Danio rerio: one gene and its partner. The protein of the gene in region 1 interacts with the protein of each later gene in a pairwise test. Links are inferred from orthologs where the notes say so. Each region holds a gene or a part of one and is shown in the gene's direction. Other genes may lie near its edges.

Region 1 (4,098 bases):
CAGCTAGTTGGTTTATTAAGCTAGTAGTGTTAGTTTCAGTGTTTTTTAATACTGTGAATTGTGACCTAAACTAAAATGTTGCCAAATATAAACTGGTAAAAAGTATATTATTCATTCATTCATTCATTTTCTTGTCGGCTTAGTCCCTTTATTAATCCGGGATCGCCACAGCGGAGTGAACCGCCAACTTATCCAGCAAGGTTTTACACAGCGGATGCCCTTCCAGCCGCAACCCATCTCTGGGAAAGAATTCATTATTATTGTATTATTATTTTTATTATTATTATTATTATTTTTATTATTATTATGTTTAATTTTTTTTTATTGAAATGGCCAAATTGTGACAGAAAAGTTAAATGTGCTGGCCAGTTTGTTTTTGTCTAATAAATGACAGTAGGCTGCAGTTTTTTTTTACTTTAAAACTTTAACAGATTGCTATTTTTTTCTAATGATATATGATGTAATAAATTTGTATTTTAATAATTAGTCTTGTTTTATTTTTTCTTTATAGCAAGTTTTTATGAAATATTTTTTGTACATCAAAAAGTGTGGTTATGATGACATCTGACTAGCTAATCCAGCAACAACAACAAAAAAAAAATCACTAAAATGCAGTATTTAAATCTTATAGTTAAATAGAAACTGAGGCGTATAACTGCAAAAAAAAGAAAAAAAGAACCACCCCTTTCACCAGGCAAGAAATGGATGAATGAATGAATGAATGAATGAATGAATGAACGAACGAACGAACGAACGAACGAACGAACGAACGAATGAATGAATGAATGAATGAATGAATGAATGAATGAATGAATGAATGAATGAATGAATGAATGAATGGACAGATAGGCCGATAACGAATAGACTAATAGGTAGACGCATTAAAGTTACTAGTGGAATATATTATCTTGACTTGTAAGACAAAAACTTAAGTAAGAGAGAAACTTATTTATTTCATCGAAGGTTTGTTCTAACAGGTACCATCGACGTTTGTTTTGAAAATTACGTAATATATAATTCATTTCTGAAGTAACTCCAACATCACGACAATATTTATCTTTCTTTATTAACCAAAATTACTATCTGGCACTTAAATCAATACAATTGTTTATTCAAAAGTAATAAATCATTTTCATGCAGCACCCCTCTGTAAAAAAATATGGTATCTTCTGCTTCTTAAGATCGTGAGCTGGAAAAGACGCCATTTTGGATCTTGAGTATGGCGTGTTTGCGCCCGCGACTTTGTGTCTACAATGAGCCAAAATGTCCGATTAGACTCCTCAGTTTCCTAGCATGTAGACGACACAAAACGTCGCCGTGCGCGAGCTCGTGTCTGTTTCCTGTACACTAGTGAAGCAGCATGGCTTCATCTGCCAAAAGGCGTGCTGTTGAAACTGGACAAAATCCACAAGACAGCGACGAAAGCTCGGACGAGGGTCTGGAAGACTCTGGCGACGACGACAGCGAAAATTCAGAAGAAGAAGTAAACGAGGTAAGTTCCTATCCGAACTGTTTTTGCGAGCAGAAATGTCGTGATGTGCAGGCCATGCTGGCTCTGTCTGAAAAACACGTTGTTTTATGACCAACACACGTGTTTTGGTCTGCATTTAGGAGGTTATTGTGGACTTCGAAGCACACACGATCTCTGACAACGACTTTCACGGCATCAAAACCCTTCTTCAACAGGTAACGTCGGTTTATTGCAGATTATGTGGTGATTATATGAGTGTTAATTTATGAATGCAGACATAAATGTGTGTTGTTGTTTTGCAGCTGTTTCTGAAGTGTCACGTGAACACTTCTGACCTCACTGACATCATCATCCAGCAGAACCACATCGGCAGTGTCATCAGGGTAATACACTTTCATTTACCCCCCAAAATAGCTTAAATTTTACTGGTCATAACTGTGTATTTCATTCAGTTTAGATTTATTTTATGTCCATGTAGCGTACTTTTTAAATTAAGAGCCAAAAAGAAAAGAAGTAGGTACAATAATGTAAATAACGGAAAAATAAAATAGTAATGGAACAAACAGAAGTTGTAAATGGGGAAAAAGGGATTAAAATGATCAAACATATTTATATAAACACAAATAATACATCTTACTAGAGAAAATATGTACTTTGTATATTCACTACATACATTTTTTAACAAGCATGTTCACTATAATGTAGTAAAGGTTTACTATTTGCATCTGTTTTTAAGGCCTGACCAGGGGCGGACTGGGACAAAAATTCAGCCCTGGCACTGTAGCCACATCAGCCCACATTACCACACCAGCATAGCCCCACCCACGGACACGCACATTCACTATTTATTTTGATGTACAGATGGTGAAATAATGACATTCTTGCCATATTTTGATTGCGTCCGGGTAACCTCGGATTGGGTCAGCCCATCTTGAAATCAGGCGGCCGTCATAATTGGTCCAAATGCTTAACATTTATTATTATTATAATTATTAACATCATCATCATAATATCACATCTAGCAAGAGATAAAAGCTGCCTCCACGTAAAAACAATACATTTAAATAAAAACTGAACGACCCACATTTAAAAATTGGTCCAGCCCTTCTGGCATTTGCCAGAATTGCCAGATGGCCAGTCCGCCCCTGGGCCTGACAGTGTTCAAAGTATTCAGGCAAAGAAAATTTAGCATTTGTAACATTTGATTATTGAAATTATGAACCTGAACACTCCCTGAAATCCCTAAAACAGTTTATTTCACTTTTATTTTTACTTTTAATTTATTTTTTGACATTTTTATGGATAATTCACTTCCCTACAGAATCATTTCACATATTCTAAACTAATAAATTATTTCTAAATAGCAGTTTTCAAAACCGCCCAATCTGGCAACACTGAATATTGATGTTGAGCAATATACCGTGCAGCTCTACTGTAAATGTTTAATATATTTAAAACTCATTTGTATAATATTCACTAACAGTAATAATGAACATCTGTAGTTCTGCTCTGATATTGCTGTATTATAGTTTATGTGTGTGTTTTGCTCCAGCAAGCTGAAGTACCGGAGGACAGTGATGATGAGGGCGACCCGGACGAGGTGTTTGGCTTCATCAGTATGGTGAACCTCACCGAGAGACAGGTCAGACAATCATAACACACACACACACACACACTCTACTTTCTGTAGGATTGATCTGAGTTACAACAATCCCACTGGAGTTTTTAGAATATCATATTTTGCATGAGTATTTCGCATTTCACAGTGTAGTGGCTGTTAAAGTCATGCAAAATGATATTCAAGCTAAAACAAAGTTAATATTAAGTTATTTGAACATATTAAAGCATGTGGAATATAAAAGGTCATGCAAATTCAGTTTTTTAATTGGTGAGTATCTTGGAAAATTTGACATTTGGCTTAAAGTGTGATTATTATTGTTTGTTTATCAGGGTGTGGAGTGTCTGGAGAAGCTGAAGGACATGATACTGGATCAGTGTGTGAAGTGCAGCACTCCGGATGTGCAGGAGCGGATGGAGAATCTCCTGCAGGGTAACACTCAGTCTGTAGGGCTCCTGCTGAGCGAGAGATTCGTCAACGTCCCGCCGCAGATCGCTCTGCCCCTGCACAAACAACTGCAGTAAGAGTTCCCAATAGAGGGAGCGCACACACCTGCTTCACTATTACCACATATCAGTGCAGATTTCATTTTAGTTTGATATATTTTATGATTTCAAAAGTGTATATATATATGTATATCTTCTTCTTTGGCCTTAGTCCCGTATGGTTGCGGGGTCGGCTCTTTGGAACAAGTCCATATGATAACGACTTTTTTTTTTTTTTTTACACATTCCGGCCGGCCTGTCACCCTCATACACTACGTAATATGGTATACCACAGGATCTAAAAATCGCAACGGTGTCAGTTTCAATACCTTTACGCCCCATTCACACGGAGCGTCAGTGTCAATGCTTCCTAATCACTTTGAATGGGTGACGTCAGGCGTTGCCGAATTGCATTGTGGATCTGTCGGCGCCACTTCCGAGGTGCTGCTCGCTGCAGAAGTTGGGACTAGCTCAACTTTTCAAGCGCCGACGAAAGCGTCAGCCAATCATATCGCTGTAATCAA
Region 2 (3,977 bases), on another chromosome or scaffold:
GTTTTCCCTTTCTCATTATTCTAACATTATTATATTCTGTGAAAACAACTGGAGGCATGTACATTGTCCAGCCTATACAGCTGAATGCCACAAAAGTAAACAATTAGATACATAATATTGATCTGAGCTGTAAAATTTTACTGGTTATTTAACTAATTGTAAAGTTCACTAAAAGTTTACTCTTTTTTTTTTTCAACAAACAGCTCTTAAGATTTAGTCACCAAAAGGTGCCAAGCAGTCAATAACAGTAAACACACACACACACACACACACACACACACACACACACACACACACATACATACAGTACATTCAACACGCACATATATACATTTATACATTTTCAGTGGTTGTTGTCTGGGAATAACATACGTTGGAATGTCATGATTGGCATTTAATATATATATATATATATATATATATATATATATATATATATATATATATATATATATATATATATATATATATATATATATATATATATATATTTATTTATTTATTTTTTAAATACAATACATACCACACTATGGAATATGAAAAATAATTTTATTGATTACTGATCAATATGTATTCCTTTATTTGGATTCACAGGTGTCAAACAGTTTCTGGAGGGCTGCTATGTAGTCAATATATATGCAATAATTGAATTTTTCCCTTTGCAGTTAACAAACCAAATTTTTATTTCTCAAAAATGTACTTTCCCTTTGCACTTTATATATATATATATATATATATATATATATATATATATATATATATATATATATATATATATATATATATATATATATATATATATATATATATATATATATGGCCCTATATTGACTCCATAGCTGCAGATTTGCACAGTTCAACTTTAACCCTAATTAAACACACCTGATCAAACTAATTAAGTCCTTCAGACTTGCTTTAAACCCCCAGGTAAGTGTACCAAACAAAGCAGGGTTGGATCTAGACTGCGCAGAGCTGCAGTCCTCCAGGAACTGAGTTTGGCACTTTTAGAAAATTCTAGTTTTGTAATATTACCATGAGATGCTGAAGTGAATCAAGTCATACATACGACACACTAGATGGCGATGCTTTAGTTATGACGATGACGTGACGCCGGAAGCTGTGAAGTCTGTGGTGCGCGCACGCTTATATCCCATCATTCCTTTCTGTCTCTTCCTCTTTCCCTTTCAGCGACTATGTCTAAGAGAGGTAAGAAACACACATGAAAATCCGCAATCATCCTTAAAATGAGGAGCATTTAAGCCCCCTAAAGTAAAGCACAGGTTTATATGATCATGGAGGATGTGTATTTCACCCATATTGATGTCAATTCTGAATTTTAACTTGGATTAAAACAGAAATGTACACTTTCCGCTAGCAAGAGAAGCCATGTTTGCTAAGTACGCAGAGTGAAGCTCGTGGAGCCAGTGGTGGGATGTTGGAACTCTTCATATTTGAACCGTTTTGTTCGTAAGCAAGTTTTGGAGTAGAGCTTTATGATAGCAGCCATTTAAAATCAGTGAAGAGCAGCATTTGTGAGTAGTTAATTCTACAATATGCGGTGAAACCGGTAGACGCTCGTCTGAATGGTGGAAAGTGTAGTCGCACGATTGTATGTCAGGCTAACGTGTAAACGTGCACTATTAAACCAGTGCACAACGGGCTTCCACACCAGAAATTCTCCTTGAAATGTTGTCATCGTAAATATTGCGTTTGTGTTGTGTGGAGTCAAGCTTGTCCGGCAGCAAACGTCTGTTCACTTGCAACTGTATCGACAGGTACACACTTAAAGGTGTAAGTTAGGGAAATAATTCCGTACCAGACATTATTCTGCACAAGTTCAAAGCTTGTGTCATTTAATTTATCAAGTTGACAAGTCTAGGCAGAATAAGTTGTCTTCATTCGTTTTCATTTAACTTTTAATGCATCTATAGTTACTGGTGTTGACAGTTTCAATTGTTTTTTTTTTTTTTCAATGTTTTATTTCATAATTGGAAGTGAATGAATGAATTGTTGCTACTTTGGCAAGTTTTTGTTGTAGATATGCAAAATCAAAACATCAAGTGTTTTGATAGATTTATGGAGTCAGGTTAATTTAGCCAGTGTGCTATTCATGTATTATCTAAAATTTAAACCTAGTCTGTATTTTGGTGGTTTTGCTGTTTTTGTGAATTTTATTAATTTTGGTCCTCCTGTTTAGGACGTGGTGGGTCATCGGGAGCCAAGTTCCGCATCTCACTGGGTCTCCCAGTGGGAGCGGTCATCAACTGCGCTGACAACACAGGTAAGAAACTTGCCTTCGTTGATGAGACCAACTGAAATAATTTATTCCAGATTTTCATTTTTCTAAGTATTGCTTGGTTTATATTTCTTCTTAAACTCATATTTTTAATGGTTTGAAATTGTTAGAAACCAAGGCATGAACATTTCATAACTTAACTTGGACAGTTCAAACCACAGTGACGGATGTTTGAGACCTAAACAAACATGGATGGTCACCATGTCACAGCATGTCACTTTTCAGACATTACCTGATTAAACAGGAACCAAATTCAGAACGTTCTTGCAGAAGTCATTGGTCAACTAAAATGGTCTGTTGTAGTCTGAATTGGCCTTCAAGTTCTTATTAAAAAATTGTTGAAACTTCAGCTTAAAAAATCCTTTAAGTTAATTGAAGTACATTTAGTCCAACAGTAACATTTGTATTGCTTTGACTATTTTAATTTAAACTTTAATTTTTACAAGAGCTGGTGTGAATGCTTGTCTTGTGTATAGTTTCTAGCATAACATTGAAGTGCTGTTGAAGCAGCAGTTCGGAAGATTACTTAAGGCCAATTACTTTAAGTTTTGCAGTTCAATCTGGTTTCAGTCTGTAAATTATTTGAGCTTCTTGTCCTTCTTAAAAGCACTTGCTTCGTCTGCTCAGTGGCTGGGTGAGTTGTCGTGGAAGGAAAAAGTGAACCCCATTACTCTTGGGTGAGATGGCAGTCTCCACATGCTGTTTAATCTCAATCCGTGATGGAACAAATCTTTGCTTTTTCTTATTTCCAATCAGCTGAGGGTCAGCAGACATGCTGAACTTAGCTCAACGGCATTGAATATGCCAATTACAAGTTCATTTACTCAACTCTGCCTTTTCTCTCACTTAGGTGCCAAGAACCTGTACATCATTTCCGTCAAAGGCATCAAGGGTCGTCTGAACAGGCTGCCTTCCGCCGGTGTGGGTGACATGGTTATGGCCACAGTGAAGAAAGGCAAGCCAGAGCTCAGGAAAAAGGGTGAGTGCTTTCACAATTGGGCTTTATTATAGATGTTAAGTGAAAGGCTAGCATTAGACAGTCATACACCACACGAGAAGTGTTGTGCAGTGAATGTGAAGTTAAGACAAGTTCAAAATTTAATAAACTGGTAAAGGTTTGACTACGTAAATGACAAAAGGGAAGCTCAATCTTTTTAAGTTGCACTTTACAGTATGTTTTACTGGAGTTCTTTCATAAGAACATACTTTATTATTTGAGGTAACTATGGGAGGTAAGGTTAGATTCATGGGTAGGTTTAAGGATAATACCTAGTTATTACTCAGTTGTAATGACTATGATAAATCTATAGCCTATGCAGTGCACCGCATAATTGCGTACAACATTTTGACAATTAATATTTTTATTTGTATCACCAGAATATAACTATTTTTGTGCATTTTGAACCGGTTTTATCAATCCATTATGTCCATTAAAGGGCTTGGTCACAAACATCTTTAGAACTATACAGAATGCATCTAAATTTAAGTTATTACAATTTATTACAAAGTACAGTTTGAATTAAATTCAGGAGAAAACAAAAAAAATTTATTTAATTTTACCAACGTTTATTGATAACTTTTTTTTTATATATATATATATATATATATATATATATATATATATATATATATATATATATATATATATATATATATATATAAATAAATAATTTTTTAGTTA

What was found.
Region 2: the proteins of bccip (region 1) and rpl23 interact in binary tests that used the Homo sapiens proteins (3 or more experiments, as listed by UniProt). The link is inferred for Danio rerio from reciprocal best matches to the Homo sapiens genes BCCIP and RPL23.

What each region holds. Positions count from the first base shown.
Region 1 is NC_133187.1:47,448,984-47,453,081, reverse strand, and holds the start of bccip (protein BCCIP homolog), read left to right. Parts: upstream 1-1,298; 5' UTR 1,299-1,360; coding exon 1,361-1,492; intron 1,493-1,611; coding exon 1,612-1,686; intron 1,687-1,773; coding exon 1,774-1,854; intron 1,855-3,023; coding exon 3,024-3,113; intron 3,114-3,421; coding exon 3,422-3,609; exon of another isoform or gene 3,610-3,858; intron 3,859-3,971; exon of another isoform or gene 3,972-4,098. UniProt on the Homo sapiens protein: During interphase, required for microtubule organizing and anchoring activities. During mitosis, required for the organization and stabilization of the spindle pole.
Region 2 is NC_133178.1:32,233,304-32,237,280, reverse strand, and holds the start of rpl23 (large ribosomal subunit protein uL14), read left to right. Parts: upstream 1-1,177; 5' UTR 1,178-1,193; coding exon 1,194-1,206; intron 1,207-2,197; coding exon 2,198-2,281; intron 2,282-3,146; coding exon 3,147-3,275; intron 3,276-3,977.